Styela clava: one gene and its partner. The protein of the gene in region 1 purifies or fractionates together with the protein of each later gene. This does not show direct contact. Links are inferred from orthologs where the notes say so. Each region holds a gene or a part of one and is shown on either strand. Other genes may lie near its edges.

What was found. Proteins that work in one complex are often made in the same cells at the same time.
Region 2: the proteins of uncharacterized protein LOC120343555 (region 1) and protein LSM12 homolog A-like purify together in Homo sapiens (affinity purification with mass spectrometry; 4 studies listed by BioGRID and IntAct, with this or other methods). This does not show direct contact. The link is inferred for Styela clava from reciprocal best matches to the Homo sapiens genes ATXN2 and LSM12.

What each region holds. Positions count from the first base shown.
Region 1 is NC_135252.1:15,480,366-15,487,332, forward strand, and holds the start of uncharacterized protein LOC120343555, read left to right. Parts: upstream 1-3,945; 5' UTR 3,946-5,264; coding exon 5,265-5,305; intron 5,306-5,819; coding exon 5,820-5,859; intron 5,860-6,394; coding exon 6,395-6,451; intron 6,452-6,599; coding exon 6,600-6,671; intron 6,672-6,967. Other genes in the region: uncharacterized protein LOC120342220, read left to right, coding at 78-195, 489-615, 1,133-1,259, 1,549-1,836. UniProt on the Homo sapiens protein: Involved in EGFR trafficking, acting as negative regulator of endocytic EGFR internalization at the plasma membrane.
Region 2 is NC_135254.1:9,556,734-9,563,644, forward strand, and holds the start of protein LSM12 homolog A-like, read left to right. Parts: upstream 1-3,886; 5' UTR 3,887-4,122; coding exon 4,123-4,689; 3' UTR 4,690-6,911. Other genes in the region: uncharacterized protein LOC120344576, read right to left, coding at 1-71, 546-1,198, 2,022-2,246, 2,444-2,561. UniProt on the Homo sapiens protein: Nicotinic acid adenine dinucleotide phosphate (NAADP) binding protein. Confers NAADP sensitivity to the two pore channel complex (TPCs) by acting as TPC accessory protein necessary for NAADP-evoked Ca(2+) release.

The DNA.
Region 1 (6,967 bases):
TCTAATCTATGTCCCCATGCCCTATATTATACAGATTTATTATAGATTATGAAGAATTTTCATTTGTTCAAAAACAGGAGATTGCAGAGTGCAAAATTCAAATAGAATCGATGGAGGATAGACTGAAGGATTATGAGCGAATAGCTTCTGATGCAAGAGATAGTGAAAAAGCCGCTAAAGAGAATTGTGCTGAAGGTGCTTTTTTACGGATAATTCTTTTTAACAATCTGACATATTTTATACCCTTTAATTTTCATGTTTTATAGGTTTGTATATATTAGATTAGGTATTAAAATGACAGTTCAAAATATCATAGTGAAATGTATATTTGGTAAGTAAATATTTATGAAAATAATTCAATATGCAAATTATCTGTCATAACTTCAATCTGACACAAATTTAGACCCACATTCTGACTTCCCATGTTTTGAGTTTAAGAAGACAGCGAATTTTGGGAAGTTTACAAACCACATCATTCTGTATTCCAGATATTGAAAAGAAATTGGAAGAAGCATGGAAAACGTGGGATGCAGAAAAAAGAGAGTTGGAGAAACGACTCGAGGAATCACAAAGGGAGCATGCTAGAACTGTTGTCACTTCAAGACAAAGTGAACGGTAATTGTTTCTCATCATCATATATTTGCTTGTATCATAATCTAACAAATATCATTTGATTCATAAAATAACTTTCGAAACTAAGCATGAAACATGTATCATTGAATATTAACTTCGACATAGTTAAATTACTTCATATTTATATATATATTTTTTATATTACCATATTTACTGTTACATGAATGCTTAAGCATAGTGAAACACAACGGGTCATGACATGAGCCTCAATAATCTTCATGTTCTTGCAAACTGACCCCAACAAACTATATCCAAACTGTGGAATGTTTTTATGCATTATAGCATATATTTATTCGTTAGCATAAATGTTGTTTCTTGAATTACAATCTTTCTATCTCTTCAACTATATAATGATTGGAAGCTGGCTGATGATGATGGCCGAGATTTAACGTTACTCTTCAGATATGCATTTTACTTTTAACAAGTTGTTTAGTCACAAAGCTCTCGTGCTTTCTCTGTTTCTGTTTTATTTTTCATTACATGTATAATTACTTTACAGAAATGCAGTTCGAGAGAAGAAAAGAGCTGCTGAAAATTTACAAGCAGTTGTTGAAGAATGCAGACAAGAAACTGAAAAATTGCAAACTCGAGTGAAAAGTTTAAAAATGGATAATAATCTTCTAATGGTATTCGTTTCAAGTTGTACTTTTTCGCTTTATAGCAATTCTGCTAATTAATTTTTTACAGGGCTAGGCATGTTTGTACCACATGGTTTCAAGCTAATTATCAAATATATGGTAGTATATTCGTAGTTATTTTGATGAATTTCTATATATGCAAGATTTGTTTTTGCCCATCGGCGTCAACGGGCATAAAAAAAATCACAAAAAAATGAACCTGACTTTTGGTATAAAGTATGAATTAACACAAGTTAAAGTTTTGAATAAAATTAAAATGTTCTTTAAATATTTACAGGCTACATTACGACAGCAAGGTCTTTCGTCAACCTTCAAAGAGGCTCGCGCACAAGCAAGAAAACTTGACATTGACACATCGGTAAATAAACCTAAATTGAAAAGCACTGATGGAACTAGTATTGGCAAAGTGGTTGAACCTTGTACGACTTCTAGTGCAACCCAATCAGTTCCTGCTAAACCAGCTTCGAGCAATACCGATTCGACTGAAAATGTGAATGATTGTACTGCAGAGATGCTCAAGGATTTAGTAGTTATGACTGAAAATATACTAGATGATTCAGATTGAGTTGAATATGAAATTTTTGACTTTTTGGCTACGGTCTCAGTTCTCAGGTGTTTTGATTGAAATTTTTTTTTATATGTGTTGCGTTTGAAATTTAGTTTGCACATCTTTCTTTCCGAATTATTGCCAAAACATTGAGTAACACATTGATAAACAAACTAGGAATGTTTTTTTGTGAATTTATACCTTTTTTAATTTGTTGTTGTTAACATGTTGATTATATACTACATTGCTATCATTTGTGAATAATGGATGCTGTTTTTTATATTTTGTACTAGATTCAGTGACGACTGCATCCAAAATGTGTTTTAGATATATATTTTTTTATTTAGAGCTGCTATATCCTTTGTATTTTCATATCAATCACCTTCTGTTTATAAACAATACAATGATACTTGAAAAAATTATGAAATCTGCTTGTGCCTGAGATGGAATTATAGCGAGTTAAATATTACAGCTAGTTAAATAGAACACGGAATGTTCTGAACACTTTTACCTATTAATTTTTTATCAGACCATGACGGATATTTTCACCATAAGTTTAAAGACATGTAAGAGTGAACTTTTGTGAAACTAGGTTTCAGTAACAATACGACTTTGGGTGGATTTTTGATGACCGTTCATGCATGGCATGTTTCTCGACGGTCGGCGTCTGAAAGGACGCGCTAGTTCGAGATCCTCGCATTCGTGTAAGATTTCGTCCAGGGATTTTCGCGTAAATGACACCTGCCACTAGTCGGGGCAGATGCTATGACTTTCGATCGTAATGGCTCTGGCAGAAACTGTAAGTTCCACTGGTCACGTCAATGACATATTTAGGTGCGGAAATATACATTCTTCCCATAAATTACCATTGCGGCACTTCTATGGCCATTTTCGCGAATCAGTGCTGCAACAGCTTTTTTTAAAGTAAAATTTCGATTTTGTTCTCCTAACATAATTGCGCTTTTGGTAGAGTTTAGTTGGTACAAAGATGGTGGTGAATGGACGGGCCCTAAGAATTCAAGATAATGTTTCAAATTCTTATTCCAACCCCTAAGCAAGTGCGTTGACTGATCATTCTCACAAAATCTTCACAGGAAGCGTCTGATAAATAGCGTCAATTGGTGCAACTTTGTGCTCTATCGTTATTAGCAGCTTAAATCGGACTTCAAAATTGTAATGATCGAACCAGATATGAATATCTCTGTGGCAGAATATCAAAGTGAATTTGTTAGATCAAGCGACAGATCTATCAGACAGGCCCGCGATCATGGAAACCGATAAAAAGCGCAAAACCATGTTGCGTCATTGCGTCGATGATGAAGGAGACTTTGGCATCACATGTCGCGCGGCTTCGTATTTTAGACGTTGTTGCGTCTGATAAATTTGTTTTCAGTTTCGGCTGCGCCATCAATGCGTTTCGGTACAAGTAAACTATCAGAATATTTAACATTTGGTAGTAATGAAATAATAAGTAGACTATCCATGATGACTGATTTATGAACAATACATTATAGGCTAGCTAGGACATTGTTGTCAAAATATCACGGTACCGTACCGGTACTCGTACCGAAACCGGTATCAGTTTTTCTAAATGCATAAATGGGTCACGCATGTCAGCATGTGATGTACCAGCAATTCAGCATACGGTATGGTAACGAAACCATTGTACTATTCAATTCAAGAGTCTTGCTGCACACGAACACAAATATATTTATGTAACGTTTCGTCTGACTGAGGTCAGACTCAACTGTTACAGAAATATATGTGTGTTCGTGTGCAGCAAGACTCTTAAATTGAATAGAATAGCCATTTACACTCTTGCTACAGCATCCTTGCATAATACGCATACGGATCCACCTGCGCAAACGCATAGAAAGCAAGGAAAGGTAGTTAGTTTCACGCAACCTCAACTGTTAGAAACCATTGTCTGATTGTACAGTACAGATATACCCGTAACGTCAGAACGTACCACAGTACCAACTGACCTATTGTAGTATTGTGCAGTACGGTACGGTACCCTACCGGGCAAGATATTCTGATATTACACCTATGAAAATATCAGTATAGCAGTATGATACAGCACTGTCATACTGTTGCATAAATCAGTACCGTACAGTTCATTCACGTATAAAACATGCACTAGCAATGATTTTCACATTACAGCATTATGGATTGTATAAATTTTTCCAAAAAAATTTGCTATTTTTAAAAGTGAAAAATATGCTCATTGTTCAACTGTTCACACTCAACCTCGAATAGAACGTTTAGCATTTCAGAACTTTGAACATCTATCTGCGTTGAGACTTCAAAATTGACCTCATTCAGTCATACTCTGCAGTCAGGCAGTGTGCAGAAGAATTTGATGCATCTCGAGTCATACTCTCAGCTCTATATTGTAGTTGAATATGATCGTCATAACGATGCTAGTAAATATTTTGATGAATGAATTTTTTGTATCATGAATCTTTTATGGGAATTTTATAGAAATTATAACCTAGTGACAGCAATATTAACAAAAATAAATAACTGACTAGGTATATAAATCAAATAAGTTCAAAGCACCCCATTTTCAACCACAGAGAGTGTGCAACTTGCACTCTAGCTTTCGTATGGCTGGAATTTTTATAGTGTGTGCATAAATATTTATAACAATAACTGAGTAATAATTTTTGACTAAACAATATTAGTAAGCTACACCGAATACAAAGTTATTTTTCTGTAATATCTCCCTGGTTGGAAAACGCTGCTGTAACAGCTATGCATTTTTATCAAGTTGCTATTATTGCGAGAGGCAGCATGAACTAATTACACATTTGGTACAATTTTGGATGTACTTGCCAGTTCGCAAAAAATCTTGATTTGAAATTTTCCTCATTGGCTATTTTTGAAATTTTTTCTTATTGGCTAAACCTTTTTGTAATTTATCCAAGTTTACCTAAAATGGAATTTTTAAATTGCAATTTGTTAGTGATTACGGTAGTATGGAATTCTCAAGTTTACGCTGTAAATAATAACCAATTTGTCCGTAATATATTGTTTTGAAATTAGTTATAACATACTTTGTTTTTAGGTTATTTACCTTATTGCCAAATCAGGCTTTCTAAATTTGAAAGTGACCAATAATTGCTATTCTATAATAGCCTTATCAAATTTATTGTTCAAAATTTTTTTGATGATTCAAAGCAAAGAAAACTAGGAAGGTTTGAAATCAACCTGAAATGAAAATTCTGGAATCTGGTTCTTAAAAGAAGTACATCGGATCAATTTTCATCTTTTTAATTGCGGAAAATGTATACACTGTTTCGTGAAATAGTGAAATAACATTTTTCATGAAGCGATTTTATGCAACCAAGTGTTGAATCAAGCTTTGTATTTATGATAATTTCATGTCAATGCTGAAACTGATACGACAACTAATCGTTCATCGATAAATTCTCAAATCCAAAATGTCTGGAGCAAGCAAAGGTAGAAAGTCAAAGAATGTGAGGTGAGTTTGCCCTCGCTTTTATATATGCTTTTTTTCTAATTTTAAATAAATTTATCAGTTATTAAATTCTTTTTGTACCCTAACACAAATGTATTTCTGTAACAGTTCTCTGTAGAGATGCCCTGAACATTTCCTATATTTGTCATATAGACTTCGTAAATTTACTTTTGTGAAATGCCAGCCCATTAAATATTCAAATGTTCCCAGTGTTTTATAGTAGGATATTTTCTTTCATACTACAACCTTATTACCATGTCGCACACTTTTTAATAACACTGTTACATTTATTGTCTCAACCTTTTACGTTTGTCGCATTTCTTTATTACTTCCTGCAGTTCCATTTGTTTTTATATCAATCATTACAAAACTGATCGATGTAACTCTGTTCCCTTGCTGTTCAAGTCAGATTTGTAGATATGATATACTTTCGTGAGATGTTTGAAACATAACCCAAAATAGGCAAGGAAATTTATTCGGTTAAAGTAGGGAACATTTATCATTATTTTTTTTTCAGGCCGGGGTCGAAGAAGAATTCTAGCCAGAATCAAAGTCCGGTATGCAAATAATCTAGATGAATATAATTTACTGAATTATCCTAATTATTTTCTAAACTTCCCTTTCCATATTGATCTTTTTATAAATTTCTGACACTTCTATATTAGCTTCATATAGAAACTCAACTTGGTTTTCCAAAAGAAACTGAAATTCTTACAAACTCAGTTCTAATGAATATGATATTTCAGCAATAGGGGAATCAAACTACTATTTGAATAGTATTCTTACATGTGCCAATGCAATGTATTATGAGGAATAAACCCAAATCAAATATAACATATGCCATGCAGTGCATATATCAGCAAAGCAATTTTTCATCGATATACCTAATTGGTGTGGAGCGGTTAAATTTGAAGAATTTGTATTTATTTTCGATATCCACACTTGAAATTTCTAATAAATATTGAGATTGTGAAATGGTTATTCCTCCTATTATTCTTAAAATAAATTCGTCTTTTAAACCCAATCTGTGACATTTATTAATTTGCTTTGTGAGAAATTCATTATTCCTATTTTGACTATTCCATTTTTCAGCCATATGAAGGAGCATATGGAAATGCACGTCTGGTTCATGTTCTTCTGTCTCTCGTGGTAGGTAAACATAATGAATCATAGTTCCTAGAACCTTGGTTTCAGATTGATATCTGGTCATACTTAATCAATCATGATTATGTGTTGAGTAAGCATTGTAATATTAGTTTAAAAAATTAGTTTAATTCTCCTTTGTGTTTCATTCCAGGGAAAGAAATGCCAGGCTAAAGTAAAAAATGGTGGTTCCTATGAAGGGGTTTTCCATACTTTTAACCCAAAGGTAATAATAGCTTTTCTATATTTAGGAATATAATGTGTCTTTATTAGTAATACATTCAGGGTAGCTAATCAGATTTGGAAATTATAGAATAAATTTAAATACAGAATGAAAGATGAGTAAATTATGAATACCTATTTTCTTACAAAGCAGTGAAATATTTTATGTGGATAATGTACTTGTTTGCTTCGCTGTGCTTCATACACTATTATTATAAATAGAACCATAATTAGAATAATCTAAGTTTTGTCTATAGTCCAACTATCATGTGGTGAAGGAGAAACAACCACATCAAGTCA
Region 2 (6,911 bases), on another chromosome or scaffold:
TTTTGAACATCGTTTTCAACTTTTCTTCTATTTCCTCGTAAATGACTTGAGATGGAATTATTTTCAAAAGACTAAAAAAAAATTTGATTTCGAGAAAACACTAAATAGATTTTTGTGAGGGTCTGTAGACAACGATTTTAAATATCTTTATGGGAAATGGGGATACAGAGTCTAGAATGCAGGCCATCCGGGGCTCGAAAATTATTTTATTGCTTTTTTTTATAGTGATAGTCAGTACATCTTTCACTTTAAATGTACAAAATTCTGCACCCAGTAGCCAATAAACCATTGCTTTAATTTCCCCCAAAAAATCTATTAACTTCTCGCATTCTAGATGTTTCAAGGTCAGAGAGAAAAATAAAATTGCACTAGATAATATACGGCGAGCTAAAGTACTGAGGTTGGGTTTTGATAAAATTGAAGCAGGCAAATGGTTGTCTTGGAAGTCTGCTAAAACGCAACATTAATTCACAGCAACTGCAATTGGAGATTTTCTCCGATTCAACCTGTAATACCATGAAAGATGACATGGAAATAAATCGCACCTTCGAGTTTTCCTTCTCAGAAGCCTCTTCTGCTGCCATTGGGGATCCAGCACATTTGATAGACGATACTGAAGAAGCTGTTACAGCATTTGCACTACTTCGTAAACTGCGAGGAGAAATTTCGAAAGTACTTTTATTCATTGAACCGTTTGTTATTATGCCATTTTTTCTTGGGCTATATGACTGTAATTTACCACAATGTTGACAAGTTTCGTCTTTTGCAATAGGAAAAGTTTTATTTAGATTGGAATGGCATTCACAATCTTTCGTCTCCTTCATGTCTTTGTCTTTATTAACTCTCGATGCTTTTTGTTTCATTTTATTATTGCAATTATGATTCGAAAGAAAGTCTGTAGACGATTCCGTAGGAGTAATACAATTGGAACTATGATCTGATAGAGATGATCTCAAACACCGTGGTGAATTTCTAGTCCTTCGTGGTGAAAAATTTGCATATTCGTCATGTTGAAAATTTCTTAATGACAGTTCACTTGCAGATGATTTGGAACATGAATATGAATTAGGAGTTGTAGGTGACTTGTCCTCTTTCTTCATAGGAGTGGAATGGTTTGTACCATTAATTTCTGATGTTTCATGCTTTTGACGAGTTCGTCTATGCATCCCATTTTCAATTGGCAATGAATTTGTAGCATCTGAAAAGTTTATCAGTAATTAATTGAAAATAACAAATAATTTTATTCAAATAATCTAGGCCATGTGGAGTGACATTAGCATGTACGAATAGAGAGCAATAAGTTAGAAGAAATACGTTCGAGTCTTGTTGAAGACATTCTAAAAATGACATCATACACTGCTACAACAAAGTATTCAATTAGGCGTACTCCCGAAGTATGTGAACCAAGATAGCGGACACCGGAACGTAGTATGTGTACCATGTTAGAGTTAGGCCATAATTTCAGGTACAAATACTACGGGAGTCAATTGGCTGGTCCCCGAACTTGTAATAGAACTAAAATAAGGAAAATTTAATAAAATTATGACCTAACCCTAATCTGGTACACATACTACATTCAGGTGTCCGCAATTTTGGTTCACATACTTCGAGAGTACCCAATTAAGATAGAAGCTTCACCCAGCCATTTTCCGTATTTTATGGACCATAAGGTGCACTGTCGATAAATTGCTTACATTGGAATTTTATTCACATAGAAGGCGCATCGGAGTAGAAGTTGCAACGTTTTTTAAATACCGGTATTGGTTTTGAGTGTGGCAATAAAGCATGAAGCACAACCTGATCCTTACATTAGGTGCACCTGCTTATAAGACGCACAACAGATTTTTGAAAGAAAAAAAGATTCAAAGTGCGTCTCATGGTCCGTAAAATACGATACCCATGATGCCAGTGGTGTCGGGGGCTGCTAACCTTGCAACACTTTTCCATACAGTCATAGGGTATGTGAAACATAACATATGGAAATTACCCAGAAACACAGACACCAAGTAATAGAATCTTACCTGCATCTTCACTCCGCAAAACTTTCAAAGGTTTTGCTTCATATTCTTCCTTCAAATCTGATTTTGTTCTTCTACTCCCATTCGTGATAACTTTGTTATCATCAGGTGAAGTTTGAAACCTTCTTTTACGATATTTTATGCCATCCTTCAACTCATTCTCCTCTCCAGATTGCAATCGTAAGCTTCGTCTTGTTGGCGACTTCTCTGGGAAATTTGAATCAGGAGCTGAAAGATCAAAGAACAGTCTGTATAAGATTCAAGCAATGATGTATGGGAGATTTGAATACAGACTGGCAGACAGATAATATAGTAATATTAGTTTGTGTGGTTTGTTGTGTAAATAAATATTCGCAGAGTTTTACAATGCAAATTAAATTTTGAAACAAATAATAAATGACAAATATCAAAAAATACATTTCTACCTGCTCTTGGAGACCGAACCCGAAATACTGTAGGAATCTCGCAAAATTCTTCATTGTGTGTACTGCGCAGTGAACGCTTTGCAATATCAGCAACACTGTTTGACCGTGTTCGTCGCATTTTTTATAATCTGATTGCAGGACTGAGACAGCGAGAGGCTCACATCAGTAAGTTTATAAATTTCATCTCTAACAGTCTAACAAAACAGGAACAACAATGAAATCCTCACATCCTATTTTAGAATTTATTTTTATTCCCTGTAACTGCAGAACTGTAAGACACATCTATACGCAGATATGATACTATACTGTTATACGAAAAAAATTATTACCGTACCGGTATATAAGAAAAATTATATGTATTAAAATTATTATCAAATCCACAAGGCAGCAAGGTTCGGTTTTTAAAAAAAAAAAAAAATAACTGGCTAACTAATCCCATACGATACCCCCAACCTGAACTGGTAACCGGACGAGAGGCCGTGGTTCGCCATACTGCCATATGATTAAGCCGTCTTATCGACTTTCCTTTCCCCCGGGATAAATATGTAGTCTAAATGCTATCCTATCCTTAAACGCACCGTACGATCACTCGATCAGTACCGGTACCGGTACCGGTACAGCAGTACCCGGTACGGACCGCTGGCCGTACGCCCCCAGCACACAATTCAGCAATTCGCCTATATCAAAATATGATTCATCTATTCAAAATATACTTATTATAATTCACAGCAAGACCAAAGATAATAAACACTGGGTTTCATTATATCCTGATGCTGTGGCGATCGAGCGGTGTCGTCGCAGTGATATAACATAGCGTTTCGTATATCACACTTCATTATTTAAAACTTACAAAGAACCACGGAGCACAGCACAGCAGGCGAATCGATACTTACGCCACTGAAGGGCAGCATTGAGACGAATTCGGTTGATAAAAGGTGTGTGATTTACTACGGGGATAGGATTGTTAGAAAAATATCAGACAAATGTGCCAACTGCGTGCAATTTCTATACCCAACGGTGAAGTTTTCATATAGCTAACTTATTTAGTGTTCTGATTAAAGCGACAAGAATCAAGCAATCCTATTCGGCTTATTCTATGTCGGGGACGAAAGTTTGCGTTCGACATATGGAAATCAGCCACAATCGCTAAGTACAACCTGTCCACGATATTTTTTAGGCGAAGTGTAAAACAACTATAAAATAACGCTATGCTTGGTAATCTTTTGTGCATACTCAAATTTTAATAATGTGAACAGAATTTGACTAGTATCGCGTTCTTCATACCGTTTTGAATTAACTGCAACTAATCTTTTATAATTTGTAATATTTGACTTTTGTTCTTTACACTGTAATTTTTGCGATAACATTGTTAATTAATCCGATAACAACTGAAAATATTTTATATTGAAATGACAACATGCCCACAAGATGTCACTATTCGACCGCAATTTTCCATCGGTCTGTTGCTCGCGTATTGGAGGTGACGCATCCATGTGTTGATCAACATTCCGAGACGGAACTGGAAAAACGGAAATAGAGATAAAAACCTGGCTGAAATTTTAAAGGTTGTGGGCCAACGTAAAAAGTAGGGCTCCATGATACTTGTTATTTTGTAAAGGACTATTGTGGTGGTCTGGAGGAGGTAACCCTTACGTTTGGGTGGTCGCGAATCAGGAAACATGGCTTCCAACAACGCGACCAGTAACGAGTTTTTCAGCATGGGCAGCGAAGTGTCGTGTGTCACTTATTTGGGTGAGAAGATTACGGGTGAAGTTATTGCTTTTGATTACCAAACGAAAACATTGGTTCTAAAGCATCCATCAACAAGCGGAAAGGCAAATACGAACAACATCTCATTGTTGAATTTGTCGAATGTCAGTGATATCAAGGTTCTAAAGGAAGGGGCTGATCAAGATTTTGAATTGTGTGCTATATCCCACACAAAATTAAGAAAACGTCTCAATCAGGAAATTCAGGCAAAAGTCAACATGGCGCAAGGTTCAAGTATGGGTGTTACCCCAGATGGACTGAAAGTCTTTGCGTTTATTTTCAAAACCATTGAGCAATGCAGGTGGAATGATAAAAGTATATTAGTAATGGATGAAGTTTTAATAAATCCACCGTATAGGTCTGAAGATTGTATTGCCAAAGATGGTAAAGAAGCAAAAGCACTGGACCATGTTAGAAAAATTGTGGAAAAATACCACAAAGATCACGGAAACATAAGACAGGTTCAAGCAACCTGAATGCCTTCATAAGCAACAAAAAATATTTTATTCCTTATTAGAAAATTTTTATCAATAAATGTGTCCCAGACTGAGTGTGTTATAAAAACAAGTCAAATATTTCAATGGTTTCGTCGTTTGAATGATATTTCCTCCATTTTATGTAATTTGGAAATAATTATATTCATTGAATATATAGCGTCTCGAACATCAAAACTCTATTGTGATTGTGCTCAACTTTTATGGAAACTGCATTCACTCTATTGTAGTTAGCTGAGAAAACCAGCGGAAAGATCGCATTTGACTGACCTATTCCTAATATGAAAACTTACAATTGTATGGTAACTAAGGGTTAATGGTTTTGGCTTTTATTCACTGTCAACATTATATTGATATTAAATTTATCAGTAAGAAAAATTACAATTCATAAAAGTGATGTTCAAACTGATGCCAAATTATTATATAAACATATGCTGTAAACTTATCATAACATTATGTTATTTACATTTTAATTGAAGGAATTTCATCCAATTTTTTATTGTTTTACAAGCATCATTGTAATGCATGTAATATCTGGATTTATGTCGAGATATTAGGAATAACCAAAACAATTTATATGATTGGCACTGGTTATGAATTTTAGATTGCCTTGATTTTGAATGGTAAATGTGGCATCAATCACTCATTTTAGCAATATTCGTTGTGTTGTGACCTTTTGTTCGACCTAATATACTTCGGAATGTCCAAAACCTAACGAGGAGACTTATTCAAATAAAAGTTTTTGAAAAATAATTCATGACGATAGTCACAATTTTAAAAAAGAGTTTGGATTTCGGTGAATCTTACTTATTCCAAATACGAGCTGTTTTCGTTTTGTGGAAAAATTGTTCGGAAAACTTTTTACTAATAATAGTATTGGTCAAATCATGTTATTTTTGTCAAAATCGTTAAATATCTTCTCACGTCTTGTTTTGCTATCAATTTTTGTGTTGGAAAGTTGACTCCGCCCATATTTGTTTCCATCTGTTGTTTTAGATTTTATGATTAGGACTTGATGATTAGTGTCAAAATATTATGTGTGTATCATGTCTTAATATTGTTATTTGCTGAGAAAAATTGCAGCGTCAGGTATCAAAATGTAAATTTTAGGCCATTGTGATGTGGAACGCAGGATCTATTTCATAATTCATAAAGTTGAGAAATGAATCTTTTTTAATTATATTATTTTGTAGCCATGGTGCTTAGAGCTGTTGATGGTGGGATGTAAAATGCCAACTGTTAAGTATAATATTAAAAGCTAGTGATTTTTGAATATTTATCGATGTCTTCACTTAGGATTCCATGTTCGAATGAATTGATATTCTAGAACCCTTTTTTTCCATCTACCAATCGTTGAATTAGGTAATGATTTTTCGAATGATTCTCATCTATACATTCGTGATAGAGCATACATATCAAAAACATGTTCATATACCCTTATCTTACTCAGACTCTATATTCTGAAATGAGTATATATAGTAAGCATTTGCAAAAGAAATACGAAAAAAAAATTGGTGCTAAATATATTGACTGAAAAATAATATTATCCTTCCAATAGGTTAGTAATATCTTACAATTTTTAGAAATTTCCATCAAATTATCAGTTGGAAATATTTTTTGTATTGCTTCATTCAACTTCAAAATCAAAATCAACAAGGAATACTTTTGGAAATTTTGAAGGAAATTTGCGAGTTTAAATTAACGAAAATGAGTCTCTTAGTATGCAAAAAAATAATTGCAGACTAAAGTATATGTTTAGGGGGCAGCTTCTTGTAGTCATTAGGAATTTAACCTCGAAGGGTGGGCAATAAGAACCTTGCCATTTGGCTCTGCTCTGCCTTGACTATAAATGTGACACTTTGACACAGTTTTGTCGAGCCACAGATCTGTGCATTTGTGTCTTAAAATTTTAAATGTACCGTACTTAATGGTAATTATGAGTATTTTGTATTACTGGATTAAAACTATGACTTGCCTGTTTGTAATGGTTGCTGTTTTGGTTGAGTAGAATCCTCATGTCTGCTTTTGTTTGTGAATATTCTGTTACGTTGACCGATATCACATGCTCTTTACTGGTAATAATTCACAAATTATCTTATCCATATTGTCACAATATATAGCCTACAAATTTGAATATGATATACAGTAGTTCCATTCTCATTTTCAATTTATCAAGTAATTTTCTGGCTTATGTTATAATTCAT